2 linked regions of the Oreochromis niloticus genome follow. The protein of the gene in region 2 purifies or fractionates together with the protein of the main gene of each other region. This does not show direct contact. Links are inferred from orthologs where the notes say so. Each region holds a gene or a part of one and is shown on either strand. Other genes may lie near its edges.

Region 1 (8,195 bases), on a different chromosome or scaffold from region 2:
TAATTAGGAAATTGAAATGTTCATTTTGGATGTTCTGTGAGGACTTGTTTGACACAACGGCGAGCACGTTGAAAAAGCTTCAACAGTTTTACAGACTACCCGCTAGTTTGTTACAGTAAAGAACGGAGTAGCTCTCCATTGTGTCAAATATGACCTGACAGTGTAGCCACAGTGCAGCTGAAAAACAAATCAACCTTTGTTCCCATTAAAAAAGGAAAAAAATGTATCAAGAGCTTAGGTAAGATTAACGACATCACTTTGTTGATCAACTTTTCCACACAGGACGTGGACTGTGTAGAAACTATGCACTCCAGAGGGAGGAAATGGGCATGCTTGTTATGTGTGAGCCTCTTGTCTGGTTTTGTATTAACTTTAAAAAAAAAGAAAAAAAGAATCTGTATCAGAAGTTCAGCAATAAAATGCAGCATGGTGCCAATTAAATTGATGGGTGTCGACTACAGTTTGAATGCCATATAACAAGAACCAAGGGTTCGTGCCATATAACACGAACCAACAAACCAAAGGTTTGTTGTCCTTAATACCACTCTGAGGCTGGTTATACACCAGAAAATTATTACTGAAGGAAGATTTGAACCTAATTCTAGCTTGGTGAGAAGATTGTAAGCAGGGACAAAACTACCTTTGCTCTCACTGAACTGCTGATCCTAAAATCATGGGAAGAATTAGGCTCTAACTTTATTAACAAAATAGCATTTACAGCAAATACACGAGATATACACTCACTGGCCACTTTATTATTTACTTTTTAATGGAACTATCTAAGCAGACAATCACATGGCAGCAGTTCAAAGCATTGAGGGCTGTATTTGTGGTTGAGATGATCTGCTGAAGTTCGAACCGAGCATCAGAACGGGGACAGGATTGTCTTATTGTTATTATGCAAGCATAAGAACATTAAGGCAAAGCTAAGAACGGGAAACTCAGGCTACAAAAACTGGACAACAGAAGGTTACGAGAGCAAGAGGATGATAGGGTCAGAATTTGGCATAAACAGTATGCAAGTATGGATCCATCTCACTTTCATAATCAAAGGTTCAGACTGGTAGTGGTGGCCTCAAATGGCCTCCACAGTCACCAGATCTCAATCCAATACAGCACCTTCAGAAGGTGGTGAAACAGGTCATTTACAACATGGATAGCAGCAACTGTGTGATGCTATCATCTCTAAATGGACAATATCCCTGAGAAATGTTTCAAACATCTTGTTGAATCTGTGCCATGAAGAATTAGTGTAGATCTGAAGGCAAAAACTGTACTGGCAAGATGTACTTAAAAAAGTGGCCACTGAGTGTATGCTATCCATTACAAACAAACTACAGTAAATCAAGATTACTTTGACATTTTAATTGAACTGAACTGAGGGTGACTCTGAACATTGACCATACATCTCAAAAGTTGACAAGTCACCAGACCAAATGCCACACTGCTTTCATGGCATTATCAGCAGCAGAGAAGGGATCTGAGAAGCTGTGTCAACAACTGTTGCCATCATCTGTAACAATTGTTAATATCTGCAGGTGGAATGGCATTTATCTTTCATAACAATGCCCTGATTTAACCTGCAACAATTAAGAAAGTGAATAATAAAAAGTAATTTCACTTAGTAGCTGTCAACATAGACTGTATATAAAAGTTGGATGTTGGCACAGTGAGGTCCAGTTCTGAAGCATTCTGGTCAGCAAACAACACATCAGAAGGGAGGGGTGAATCTGACTGATTAACCAAGGACACTTCATGGTCACACAGTAGCAACTAGCCAATCATAAAGCATACAGTTTTGTTTTGTATCCTTATAGCCTAAGTGGGGCCATAATTTACAAAATAAAACAATCATGCCGTATTCAGTAAGACTTAAAAATAGTGACCGAGGCCATAAACTCAACAGGAAAGTGGCAGATCAAAGAAGCGGGAGGGTTTTTCCATCTTTACCTTAAGAATTGATTTTTCAATGAGGAGGCGCCCTCTGCTGGTCCTTCTAAAGAATGCAGGTTTGAGGCAGGTTTAAGTATTCACACTCTTGAATGTTAGAGCTGCATCCATTGTTTACAAACAATCTGACATATTAGCGTTCTCTGATCTTCCCTTTATTTTCCAATGGAACAAACACATTTCAGCTAGAATCCATTATTAGTGATATAATTTTCTTTACAAGCATATGGAGGCGCATAAATGCCACCATCACCAAAAACCATATACAGTACGCAGCAGACTGAAGAACACATTTTCCCTAATCCCAGGTCAAGCTGGGTGTCCTGTGTACACTAGTTGACCATATTACTGGTAACACTTCTGTCTACCAGTCTGTTCTTAATGCGTGACATCTGTTCCAGCTGTGCTTCAAACTGTTGTCTCACCTGCAATGGAAAGCAAGTAACACATTTATTTGCTCAGCAGAGGGAATTATAATTTATTTCATTCCTGACTGGATTGCTTTATGCACCAATCTCTTCTATTGTGAAGTGAGTGTGAGCACTAATGAACCACAATATAACCCAATGAAAAAAATTAAAATTGGTTCTTTTGCTCAGACATGATACTATTATTTCAGTGTCCCACCTCATTCATGCTTTCTCTGAGTGGCTTCTGATCAAATGTGAGTGTGGATGCCTTCACCAGGGAGCTGCTGTTGAGGATGTAACTGCAGAGAGAATTAAGCAAGTTCTTGAAGATTGAGGGATGCAAAAAAATAACTTCAATGAAACTGTTTCCATTAAAGATCGAAAAATATAATTACCACCCACTTATTTATAAAGTGAATATTTAAACCTACTCATCAAGTATACAACATATACAGGGTTTGTTTCATCTCTGACCTGAGCTCACAACAATAAGTGAACAAAGCTCATAAGCCACATGTTTATTCTACCCTCCCCAGAAAAACATGTACACAAGTAGTCAATATGGTTGTGTGGTTAGTAGAAGCCGGAGGGCTTACCAGTTGATGTTTGCTTTGTAGAGGAGAAAGATGGACCGAATCAGAGCCAAACGTGAGGGTGCTGAGTGAATGACTTTCCCCAGAGCACAGCGGCAGCCACGGCATTTTAAAGAGCTGTAGATGCTGGGAGTGACCAAGACATTCATTAACAACCTGTGGATGACTGTGATTCCTCCAGTATTTTATCTATACCACTAAAGTCTAAGCTGTGCTTATGTCAATGCTTTGTGGTACAAAACAAATTCCCTCTACAAGGTCAATAAACGCTGCAGCTTTACCCTACTCACCAATTAGTCATTTCCCCTTTATGTCCTGACTCCATCTTGTCACTAATGACTACATCGTTGGTTACTCCTAAAGAAAAACAGGTAGAAAACCATTTAATAATATATTGGCATAAAACTTTTGAAAATCATCAGTGGAGTTTAAGTATAGTATCCCTGAAAAAACAGACATTAAAAGAGCATTAGGGAGCAAATGTGGTTGTTTTTGTCACTCTGGCACGAACAGCACGTCCCAGTTGATCCCACAAGTGTTCGATGGCGTTGAGGACAGGACTACAGGCAGGCTATTCCATCCCCTCCACTCCCAAACAGACGGCAGAAGAAACTACACCAGAGCAAGTGCGCTGGCCCAAGTAGTACCAAAGAAGTCAACACCGCCAGAGCTTAACGATTATCAAACAGCTGACCTCACGGCATGTGACAAAGGTACTGTAGATACTAAACATTTGCCCAGCTGAGACCACAGGCGAAATCACCTCTTGACCCTCAGCAGTTTGCACACAGACCAAATGTGGAAGCAATCACCTACATCCTGCAGGGAGCTTACTGCCATCTAGACAGTAATGGCTGCACAGTGAGGATTACCTTCTTTGATTTCGCAAGTGCATTCAACACAATCCATCTGCTGCTACTGAGAGAGAATCTACAGGAAATGTCAGGAAACACATCCACTGACAAACAGTCCACAGCATATGAGACTGGGGAAGTACTCTGTCTGTTTGGTGATGTTCAGTTCAGGAGCTCTGCAGGGGACTCTGCAATCTCCCTTGTTGTTCACCTTGCACACCTAAGACACTGAAGAGTTTAGCTCTGGGTTTAGGCACCTACAGAAATACTCTGATCAGTATGCAACGGTTTGATTTTAGAGGCAGAATGGGGAGTAGAGAGCACTAATGGATGATTTTGTGGCATGGCCTGGGAGGATTCATCTGCTTCTGAATATGAATAAGACCAGAGGGAATGTGATCTACTTCAGAAGGTTCCTTTTGAGGTGGTGGAGTACAGGTACCTGGGTGTCCACATCAACAGCAGGCTGAACTCTACTGGGGTCTGCTGGGGGAGAAGACTGAATAAACTGATTATGAAGGCTGACTCTGTAACTGGCTGTAAATTGGAAACTTTGAGGATATTGTGATGAAACTTTTCCATCACTAATAATCCTGACCACCACTGCGCTGAATAGGCAGTCTCTCTAAAAGACCGATTGAGCTTTGCAGCTACAGGAGAGGCATCTACCACCAGGCATACTACCATATTGCTATTGAATAATGTATTTATCATCTCATTGCTTATCTTACTCCAAAATTTTAGGTCATGTGGTGTAAACAGTCGCCATAAAAACAAGTCAAAATCCATCTACTATGAGTTTAGTTAAAAGCACTGTAAACTGATACTACATTTAACATAAACCCAATGCCTCAGCGAACAAGTGTTTAGAAATGAAGTGTGCTTACTTATGCACATAAGAGAGTCCATGCTTTTCATCTCCCCACAGACGCCTGTGGAGTCCGCCAGGACGGCGTTGCACTGGTGACAGTGGAGAGTCATCTGCTGTCTGTGCACTGTTCCTGTGGCTGGCAGCTTTAGGTCGTCGGTGTGTTTAATTAAAAAGCTGTCGTTAAATTCCATGTTTCACGGTGCCTAGCCAGCAACTTGCCCTCCTCGCGAATTTGAACAACAGAGGAAAGCACGCCCTCAGCGTAACCACGCCCCTACAAAGAAATGTACAAGCTACCAAATAACACTTTTCTACAAGTTTAACAAAGAAGTGTGGCTGATTAAATTATTTTAAATGTATGAAATTTCTAATAAAAATACGGTTTTAGAAAGAAAAAATAACCATGGGGGATATAAAAAAAAAATGCCGAAAAATGCACGGTTGTTCTGATTGGCTGTGAGGCACATCCGGTTAGAGTGAAGAGCCAATCAAATGTGTCGCGCTCCTGTGTTTTGAATCGGAGGCTAGTTTTAACCGACGCTGTTTGTGGTGAGGAGAAAGACGGACGTGTGCGCGAATTTTTTTTAAAAAAAAAGGCGAAATAAACTGTCACACCGACATGGATTTGGACTCCATGAAATATGCAGAATTGCGAAGTCTCGCTAAGGAGCTGGGACTCAAGGCGAACATGAAGGTAAGGGAGCTTTACTTTTTTAAAATTAGCTTCTAGCGAGGTTTGGTAGACTTACCTTGTATTCGCTAACGGTAGCTGGCTGTTCTCTAACGTCAACGTGTGTTGTGCAAACTACACTCAAATGCATTTTTTTTTCCCGGTTTTTTCCGGCAACATTAGGCCGACAAACTTCTGAAGGCAATAAAGCAGCATTATCAAGAAGAAAAGAACAAAGAGCCGAAGGAGCAGGTAACTTACTGCTGTTCTGTAATGTATCGGCTTTGTTGTCAGCATCTCGTGTGGACAGCGCTAATGCGTTTATGACTGTTCCAGGGGCAAGGTATTAATGATGAAGCTCAGGCGAAACCTGAGGTTGTCCTGGATTCATCTTGCAAGGAGGAAGTTTCCAGCACTACTGGGTTTGTGAACACACGTCGAGGTAAAGGACAGGGTACCAAGAGAAAAATCTCTGTTACTGCCACACTGACTAAAAGCGATGCCAAGATGCCTCCAGTTGCTGCAAAGGTATTATACATTACACTGTATTCAACATAAATACATCTGAAGCACTCTATATCCCTGTGTATAGGGTTGCTTTGCAGCTGTTTAAGTTCTTTGCATTCTGGAGGTCTAAAACCTTTTATGATTATTTTTCTTTTTAAGGGTGACACTGAAGTTGATGCATCTACTGCACCCTGCAATGCCAGGGGTGGTAAGAAGAGAAAGGTGTCGTCTACAATCGATAAAGAAAAAAATGAGCCTCCTAAAAAGATCCAGACTCCTAACCGTGAGGAGCAGCAGCTACAGCCTGCCATTAAGGATGAAGCACCAGTGACTGCTGAAACAGGTTAGTAATAGTTGATAAAAGCTGATACACACTTAAGTTCTCTTCATTGGATTTTAAGATCATTGACTTTCGCACAAATTTTAAATTTAAATGTCTGTGTCCAGAAAAGGCACCAAAAGGGGCAAAAGCTGGTAGAATTCCTCGTCTCCAGCAGAAGAGTAAGCCTTTGTTGAAGCCTGTTACCCCCAGTAAGTTTTTTTTTTTTTTCTTTCCTTTTTTTGTCTCCCTTTCAACAAAGTATTTTATTTAAGTTAACCATGATATTGTTCTTTTTGTGCCTGATTCAGCAAAAGTTTTATAGGAGTCTCTGCTATGTACAGCAGAGCCTGTCTTACTTTATTTCAGAATTTCAGAGAAATCTGTACATTTTCCTGTTGATGATGCACATCTATTTTGCTTTAGTAAATAAAACCTTAATCGATTTTAAAAAACTACAAAACAATACTTACAGTACTGGTGCCACCCCCACACACACACACACACACACACACACACTTCAAAATCTTTGAATAATGTTATAAATTTTATTTGTTTATCTAGATTTCAAAAAACTTCATGAGGCTCATTTCAACAAGATGGAGTCCATTGATTCCTATGTTCAGCGGAAGACGAAACAGATGGAGACGTACAGAAATTCAGTCAAGGAACTAAAGGTGCCAAATCATCTTGGCTTATTTTTATTCAGGAAAAATTAAGTCTAACTTTTACTTGAACTTTATTTTATTTTTTACCTGTAGAGTCTTTCAGACAAAACTGAGCTGCTGCAAGTTGATGGCAAAGCTCAAGTGGTAAGCATCACCATCTACTCGTCACCCACATTTAATGTATATATCAATTACTTCTAAAGCACACTAATGGCACATGTGTATATAATCCCACAGAGGGCAAATCCAACTCGTGCTTCAATGTTCAGCCCTGCCCCAGTGAACAAGACACCAGGTGGAGGAAACCGCAGGCACACTTTGCTTTCAGCCACCAAAAAACCTCTTGCAAAGGAGGTCGTCTCCTTCAGGCCTTCTGTTCTTTCCACTCGCAGGATCAATGTTCGGTGAGTCACCGTTTTGTCCTCTGGCCTTTTGATACAACAAATCTAATGAATTTCTAGGGGATCTAATATGCCTTTTAAATGAACAAAAGTACTGAGCCACACAGTCTTTTAATCTTCTCATTAGTTATCAATCACATTCACACAGGTGTACAAAACTTGTGACTTAGCCATGCAGTCTCTGTTTACAAACACTGGTGAAATAATGGGTCATTCTAAAGGATTAACCTGAATTCAAGAGTGGAACTGCAAAAATAAACTTTAAGTGGTATTGCAAAGTGAAAACATTGAAACTTAAGTTTTGTATTCAATGTAATGCTTTAATGAGAACTGTCTACATACAGGTTCTCAGAAGCTACTCATGACAATGAATATAAAAGGTCACTGGTGAAGACACCTGCACGCATGTCACCTTGCGTGGCTTCCAGCACCCCTCAGAAACAGACCGCCAACGGATTAAAGCCCAGCAGTGTCAAAACTGCATCTTTCTCGGCCACAAAAACTCCAGGTACTTTGACCTTTCAACCCTTTGAATGATATCTGAAGTATATGTCTCTAAACATCGTAGATGATGATATTTCCCCCCCCCCCCCCCCCCCCCCCACTCTGCAAGGACCATTTGTTTTCACTGGCAACACAAGCACTTCAACAACGCCTGGCACAAACAAGAAACCCAGCTTTGATCTGAAGGCGAGTCTGTCACGTCCCCTCACCTACAAGCCTCATAAAGGTATAAAAATGTTCTCATTTTCCCTGTTCGTGTGAAACACTATTTGAATGGATGAGATGTAGCATTGAGTCTTTTATTTTATACATAGGTAAACTGAAGCCATTTGGAGATGTCAAAGAAAACATGGCCATGAACCAGTCTATCTCAAATCCACATCAGGAAGCTTACAAACAGCACAAAGTCCAGTCAAGGTAGGTCCTTAATTAACACTGAAAATTCTCC
Region 2 (7,999 bases):
ACAGACTTATTACACTCAAATTAAGACACACACTTACACGACAGCCTCACAGTCTGCAGACATTCATGCAGTCTTTATCTATCTGTGCCAAAGGAATTGGTTTATTAATTTTTTCCCCCCACTGTGGAAAAAATGTTGATTAAAAGTGAGTCGCAAAATCCTTTGTGAATCAGAAAATAGAATACAAGGCTGTTCTCTGGTGAAAATTGAGTAATGCGTAGGCTCTAAGTGGCTCTGGGGTTTCCTTTTCCTTCACATTTTCTTTTAGAAAGAGTGAGTGAATGTAGCTGCGCTCAGCGCCACATCTGTGAATAGGTGCTTTCTCACAGGATGAGATAAACAATGGCATTTTACTCTGTCTTAATCATTCTCTTTTGTGTGACTGAATGTAACATGAGGTTCAAAACGTAACTCCCGCAGGGAGTAAGTGCAATGTATACAATGTATAGAAATTTCAGAGAGGATAATTTGTCTCCATGCGAAGGACTTACCCTCGAGAGCTACTATAGATCACTGTTGCATTGATTGTCTCCACTGGTTTAGTCAAGCTTGCTAAGGAAAATCTGTCTGTATAACCAGGGGTAACAGTTAAAATCGAATGCCAATCCCACCGAGGACCTTTTGAAGGCCAACTTGCCAAATTCAAGGCTGCATTTGTCATCCTGCCCGACCTCAGTAGACTTGCAAAGAGTCGGCCCCTTTTCTTTTGACATGTTTTGTGGCTCAGTGTGCATTTAGATGTTGTCTTGCATCCTAATGAAGGAAGACAAATACAGTTAGGAGGTAATGGAGAAAAACAAGGAACCTGGGAAGTCATTCCTTTCACTACATGTGGCAGTGAGTAGTTGCCCCAGCAGTTAGATTAGGATCAGCCATCCTGAACAAAGCAGTAATATTGTTGAGGAATATGATGCATTACTGGAATCCATGGCGAGAATTTAAATTGAATAGGAGAGGAATAAGTCTTCTCTGAACCTTAGATCAGTGTGTTTGCAAACACCTGCATACTGCAAGCCTTTATAAAAAATTTTTTTAGGTAAATGTCAAATGCACAAAGCTCATAAAAGTATTTATGGGTGGGCCATTGTTTTAGTATCCTCTGATGAAGACAAGTTAAGAATTACATTACACGGGCTGTCTCACTTTGCTATCAGATTCGTTCACCTGGATTAGGGTTTCTCTAACAATGATGGGCACGAGCTGTGGACAGATGCGGTGGACCTGTCAGAGATGTGGAAGAGAGGATGTTTGGTGGCACAGAGAGGAAAAAAAGACGGTTATGGCTCAGTTTACTGTGGGGAAACAGAGGATCCCAAAAGCAAGATAGGTGATGTGCATACGCTTATACTCTCGCCTCTGTATAGTGCACATTATATATGTAGTACACTTCGGCTGCATTGTTGTACTTGTTAATTTTAAAGCTATATCGTGCCAGTATATTGACACTAAACAAACAAACAAAAAAAAAATGATGGAAGGTGACCAGAAATTGTTTCTTGTTTCTTGGAGATGTGAAGTGATTTCCCTTCTGCCTTCTGAAAGATTAAAGGGAAAACCTACCTCTCTCTGCTGCGGGGAAAAATGTCCCTCTCCCAGAAGACAGCCACGCTGTCAGCCTATGCTGTTTGTCACTCCGGCGAGTGACACGAAATACGTTGGTTTGTGTGCCCACTAATATTTGGTGCTGTATATACAATTATTTTTCTATTTGTACTGTATATTTCTACTCATATGTAAATTTGAATTGTTCATGTAAGCACTGTATTAAACAAATGTCACATAAGCACCTTTGTTTGTGATAGCCTAAAGGTTAAAAAAAGAAAAAAAAAAAACTTGTGCATTCATTGTATGTCTTTGTACTTGTTTGCTTTGGAAAAATTATTCAGAATAGTGTGAACCGTCGCACCATTCCACTCTGTCCTGGTCAATCTGGAAGAATCTCTGACAGGGCTAAAAATACAGAAGACAAGTGGAGAGTGGACAGTGGATACAAAGTAGACCAACATTGTTTTGGCTCTATTTTGAACAGTGTGAACAATAACTGCAACCGTCGCTCTGCTTTTTCACAAAACGCAAAACCTGTCTTTAGTTGACGGCCTTCGCTTGAAATTTTGATGCTGTATTTAGACGCGCTGCCATGTGCTGCCCTGCCAGCTAGGATGACTTGTTCAGATACCCGGGGATGAGGAATCTGGTTGTTAAGAAAACAGACTGGCCAACATCAATCAGAATAAATGACACCACCTACTGGCAGTAGAATAAAGTAGGCCAAGTACTCTCACTTGTTATTAAGTCACAGTTCTGCAGGAGTTAATTTTATATTTCTGGGTATAAACATATTCCATCATAATTAAATTACAGCTGGGAAAGCGTGGGTGTGGAGGGAACAGTGCTTAGGTCTTGATAAAAGGGTGGGTAGGCCATTGGAGGGTAAAGTGCAGACGAGGTGGAAGTGGTCAGCTGGATTGCTAGGGTCAGCACGGATTACAGGAAACCAGACGGAAACAAGTCGTCCGCCTCTTTTTATCCAGAACTTGGCCTCAAACCAAAACATTCAGCACTATTTGGCTCCTTATCAGACTTTGAATTATGCAAAACTCAGTTTAATACACACAAAACAGAAAAAAGAAGCAGACAGCACAATTTGACACAGTAAAGTCGGGATTGGAGTCATCTGGTGTCCCATGACTTTATTTATACTTTATTCAAATTTCGGATCAACACCATCTGTTCAAAAGACAAATCCGGGTGTATTTAATTAGCTAGCGACTAAGGCTGGTTCCACATAATACCTTTGTAGCAGGATGGAGTTACATTTCAATTCATCTCCAGATATTATGGGAGCTGTTTTGGAGACAGTTGTAGATGAAATTACACATGCCTGGCCAGACGGTCAGATTAAATCACAAGCAAAATAACATTAAGCTGAAGTCTGTGTGTAGCTATTGCAACAGAAACAAATTTGATGAGAAGGCATTGGACTTAATCACTCAGAGACTCGAGAATACTTTAATAATCCAACAGTGACACAAACTAAATGCTGGTTCTTAGTTTTAGGTATTTCTGTATGGGCATCAGCAACACTGGAAATTACAAACAGATAGTAGCAATCTTTTTCTCATCAATAAAGCTTGCAAATTAAGTCACTGAAATGTGAAGTCATCTCCCATTTACTTCCCATATATAAACAAACTTTTTTACTACCAATAAAAATGACAGACCTTGCAGTTTTCTGAGCACACTGAGCGTGGTTTTTAGCTTTAATTATTTTTGTTAAGGTTCAAAGCACCACCGGATCTCCTCTCCCTCGCTCTTCCTGGTTACTTTGTGTTTTACTGAGAAAATGGTTAAGATTACTCTGAGTTTCTATGGAAACTGCTGCGTTTAGTTGCGGATGTTACAGCCCCTGCCCTCTCTGAGGTCACTCCGCTACAAGATAATTTGATCATCCTGCACCTCCAGTTTTAAATAGCCTAAGAATGAGCAAATGAGCAATTTAAACACTTGTAAGCTCGTGATTATAGAAGAAGAACGCCAAGATGTCTTGTCTTAATGCTTTTGTGAATTACATAAAAGTTTCATGTAAACTTATTTAGGCATTTTCCTTTTTTTCCCTTTTTTTTTTAAGGAACCTACTGAGTGGAAGAGGCAATGTTGAGCACTGGCTATTGTTAGTGATGATTAGATTGGATGAGCAGGTGATGTGTGGATCAATAGAGAGCCTGAAAGGAACACATGATTACTCTTGGGAGGTTACGCTGCTCCCTTAAGACCCTTTTCAGAAAGACAAGCAATGAAGAGATACTATTGAACTGAGAGAGTATAGCAAATAACAGTGGGGATCAGACACAATGGTCATAATCAGGGTGTCATCTAATTAAAGGCAGCTGCTTCAGAAGCTGAACCAGTCGCTTATTTCTTTTAGTTACATCTCTGCTTTAGCAAACAAATATTATCATATGACAAACTCTCAGTCATTTAAAAACACACATTAAAACCTGCTTATTCTTGCTGAGCAGGGTATTGTGTTTTTTTTTTAATACAGTCGGTCTTATTTATGTCTATTGAGATTTTTCTCATGATGTTTTATTGAGTTTATTGTGTATATTAGTGTATTTATTAGTGAGTTTGTGTAATGTTAATTATATAATATTTTGCATAACCTATACACCTTTATGTACCCATACATTTTGGTCAACTGAGGTTGTTTTAAATGTCCTATAAAAATAAACTTTGATTTGACTTGGCAGCTTCTGTCATTTCTAAAATTTTACATATCAGGACGTAAAGAAATATTTAGCTTAATGTGAGGCAAATGCTATCTGACACGAGCAGCAACACGTACTATATTACTGTATTACTGTATTACACTGTATCCTAATGTATTTAAGAAAAACTAAGAAGCAGTGTTTGACAAATCAAGCACATCACATTCGGTAACTCACATCAGTCTCTCACATTGTTGTAGAGGTATTCTGCCATTCTGTATATATACATATATATATACTACAGAAGATAACTCGAAACTTACAATAAAGACCTATCGCTAACCTATGTAAGACCTATCGTTAGCGATATGTTAGCGTTAACAATATGTTTTGGAGGATGTCTTTTGACATCCTTCAAAGCTGATTCTACGCACCTGTCCCTTTAAACACAGTACCTTTAAAAATTATTCTCTATCCAACTACATTTCCCACAGTCCACTGTTTAAAGGCGGTTCGGTGGGCATGCTTCATAATCGGGTCAGCCAATTATATACCTTCACTAACGAGCGCGTACTTCGAAATGTCGTTATGTTCTCCAATGAGCGTTTAATATGTTACAGTTTTATACCGTCTGACCAATCGTCGCGACCGTTCTTCGCGCTGACCAATCAAATGGCTATTATGTTGAATAAAGGCGTCATCAGTGAGGACCAATCAGATTGAACGTATAGTTTAAACGGTGAGCGCGGGCGGTCCTAGAGAGCATCTTTTGGGGCGGGTCCAATAAGTGAGGACGCGTGCTTGGATTTGAATTCAGGCAATAGTTAACAACTTAGGGAGACTTTAGTCAACTATCACAGCAAAACAGACACAGGAAACAACACTGTAACACTGCCTATTTCGTTTTCTATTAATTAGTGTGAATATTTGAATGTGAGTAACATTAGCCAACATCGCCGCGTATATAAATCGCTACTCAAGAGTTGCATTTACAGTAAGACATCGCTGTTTGAGGAGTGATCCCTGTACTTGCAATGAAAGCAGGCGGTAAGTACTTTTTTCAACTTGTTCTTGCTAACACCGATATGTGGAAATTACCATAATATGCAACAAGTGTTTGCGGTCTTACTTCAGATCACTGAAGTTGGACACAGTTAGCATTGGTGATTAGCTGCTGCTCGCCACAAACGTTAACTGGTGTAGCCTCCGGGAAGTAATGGTAAATCATATTGGCAATATATCTATAGAGGTAAAACGTCTCTCCTGTTGACTTTGTGAGCATTTTGTGGTCATTGAAAGATAAATAATTAGCGTTAGACTAGTTTGAATTTGAAACCTAATTGAAACTCATCGTTACTGCCGTGGAACTTACAGGAGGGAAATTTGGGCGCTCACCGAGTTTGACTTTCCTCCTTCAGCTGCTCAGTTCACCGCCGTTAGATTTTTAACATATGCAGAAAAAAAAATCATTAGCTTTTTATGTGTTTTAATAATTTCAAGGTGATGATCTCTCCATTAATTTAAACATTTTCCCACTCACTCACAGAGAGTTTGAGTAGACCACCCGTAGATGCCTTACGTTAGTAGTTTTGAATGTGGAGCCATGCAAAACCTTCATCTTGGAGTGCATCACTGTGTGTCTAAATCAACTTGACCTGCTTCCAATGAAAGGCAAATATTAGTTTGTCATTAATGTGAGAATTAGTTAGCCAGTCTTGCAGTTAGGTGTGAAATTTTAAGTGATTTGTGATTTTGATTGTGTACACTTAAAGCCTTCCTCCCAGTGCTGTTGCTTGGAGGGTGAATATGGGAAAGATGCTAAAGTATTCAAAACATTTGATGTGTTAAAAGTGTATAATATATGCAGTTTCTCTTTGTTTTTTTTCTTTCAGTTATCCACTGCCGTTGTTCAAAATGCTACTCGGTTCCAGCACGGAAGCGGGTACGTAAGCGATCTTCTGGGATCACCTTGCTGTCTCTTCCTGAGGAGGTTCTTCTCTGTGTGCTCCAGTATCTCTCTGCAGAGGATCTCCTGTCTATCCGAGCTGTGAGTAAAAGTGCACACTGACACAGCTAAACTCTTTATTACCTGAGATTTCTCTTCTGCTAAAGGTTCTAATTATTTTTCTTATTTATGATTTTTAAATGCCTGTTTCAGGTTCACTCTCAGCTGCGGGACATTGTTGACAACCACTCTAGTGTTTGGGCCAGGGTCAGTTTCAGAGACACGTGGCCATCCCCAAACACATTATGGCTTTTTGAAAGGTACACCACCTACTCTCAAATGTGTGTTTTGCATATATATTTATATGTTGTTTGTCAATTTGAGTCTTTACTTTAAATTTTGTCTTCCTTTAGAGCTGCTGACAAAGGGAATTTTGAAGCTGCTGTGAAACTTGGAATTGCATATTTATACAATGAAGGACGTAAGTTGTTGGTTGGTTCATGTTAGAGATTAAATGGGGAGTCGTATATAAATACAGGCAACATAAAACCCTTTAAATAATTGAACTAATTGATTAAAAATGTGCATCCTCTCTCGCCTTCAGCATTGTTGAGTGACGAGGGGCGAGCAGATGTGTGTGGTCGGAAGGCTTCCCACTTCTTTAGCCTCGCAGAGAGCCTGCGCTCCCTCACAGCAGATCCCTTCATCTGGGTGTTCATCCGTCCGCCGTGGTCGCCCACCGGCAGCTGCTGCAAGGCCGTGGTGTTCGATCACCTCAAGGCTGAGTGCGCTAACAACATGGTAGGCTCAGAGTTCCTGTTTGACCAGCTGGAGTGCAAATTTAATCTCCATTCATGTCTGATTTGGTCTTAAAGTATTAAGTTGGGTTCTTTCTTAAATCATTAATTCAGATATAAAATATTACATAAAAAATGTATCATATTGCAACATAAACGCATATTTGGTTAGCTTGGAAGGCTGCCTGAACACCCTGTCCCTAAAGCTTGGCTTCTGTTCTTCTTAGTTGACTTCGATTTACAGTGCCATACACTGGTGAACAGTTTTGTACATGCAATCTGCTTTTGTGATTTCTCTGCAGGAGAGGAGGGGTCCCCTGTTGCATTGTTTGGCCAAAGTTTTGCAGCTGTTTGAGGTGAGTGAGACTGGGGGGGCTTTATCTCAATCCAGGTGTGGTTAGCCCAGTTTCTATTACTCCCACCCCCCTCACCAAAACCTAAAACTGAGCTGATGTCACAGGGGCTGTTGGACCAGTTGGTCATTAGCACCACAGATGGAATAAATCCCTGTCATGCAGCTTCTGTTGTCTTACAGGCCTTGTTGTTTCTTCTTACTCACAGCTTCAGTATGCTTTGTTATTTACCAATGTGACAAAGCAGAACTGTGCCACGATCCTTCATGTGTTGCAGAGACAGCATGCTGCAGACAGTTTACCTTTACTTCTGTCATTAACCTCAAGGAACTGTGTTTTATTTGTCCAGGATGATGAAAAGCGTTCAGAAGCCATATCCATGCTGGAGGAGTCGTCACAGGCTGGCTGTCTACAGAGCTCTTACCTGTTGTGGCAGCACAGCCGTAAGGCAGCTGTGAGTCAGGTTCTCTCATTACCGTGTTTCAAGATTTACTCTCAGAAGCATGCACCTTTGGTGAAGACAACTGTTTGTTTGGGGTTTATTTCTTATTTACAAAGTCAGTCAAACATAACCAGCTAACATAGTAAATGCTTTACAGATTCTAGAAAAGATTCTCCTGTTGACTCCAATCATGAGCTTACCGTTTTCTTTTTGGTGTATGTGTTTCAGATCGCAGATCCAGGGAGGTACCTGCA

The links. The genes of interacting proteins can lie anywhere in the genome.
Region 1: the proteins of ccnf (region 2) and nusap1 purify together in Homo sapiens (affinity purification with mass spectrometry; 3 studies listed by BioGRID, with this or other methods). This does not show direct contact. The link is inferred for Oreochromis niloticus from reciprocal best matches to the Homo sapiens genes CCNF and NUSAP1.

Annotation. Positions count from the first base shown.
Region 1 is NC_031983.2:22,123,599-22,131,793, reverse strand, and holds the start of nusap1 (nucleolar and spindle-associated protein 1), read left to right. Parts: upstream 1-5,174; 5' UTR 5,175-5,297; coding exon 5,298-5,372; intron 5,373-5,531; coding exon 5,532-5,600; intron 5,601-5,684; coding exon 5,685-5,876; intron 5,877-6,014; coding exon 6,015-6,198; intron 6,199-6,302; coding exon 6,303-6,386; intron 6,387-6,738; coding exon 6,739-6,851; intron 6,852-6,935; coding exon 6,936-6,986; intron 6,987-7,079; coding exon 7,080-7,246; intron 7,247-7,587; coding exon 7,588-7,751; intron 7,752-7,856; coding exon 7,857-7,973; intron 7,974-8,061; coding exon 8,062-8,164; intron 8,165-8,195. Other genes in the region: oip5 (protein Mis18-beta), read right to left, coding at 2,283-2,375, 2,578-2,659, 2,957-3,079, 3,244-3,310, 4,695-4,869. UniProt on the Homo sapiens protein: Microtubule-associated protein with the capacity to bundle and stabilize microtubules. May associate with chromosomes and promote the organization of mitotic spindle microtubules around them.
Region 2 is NC_031969.2:20,391,801-20,399,799, forward strand, and holds the start of ccnf (cyclin-F), read left to right. Parts: upstream 1-4,957; 5' UTR 4,958-5,242; coding exon 5,243-5,255; intron 5,256-6,100; coding exon 6,101-6,255; intron 6,256-6,366; coding exon 6,367-6,473; intron 6,474-6,566; coding exon 6,567-6,634; intron 6,635-6,757; coding exon 6,758-6,954; intron 6,955-7,252; coding exon 7,253-7,306; intron 7,307-7,652; coding exon 7,653-7,757; intron 7,758-7,973; coding exon 7,974-7,999. UniProt on the Homo sapiens protein: Substrate recognition component of a SCF (SKP1-CUL1-F-box protein) E3 ubiquitin-protein ligase complex which mediates the ubiquitination and subsequent proteasomal degradation of target proteins.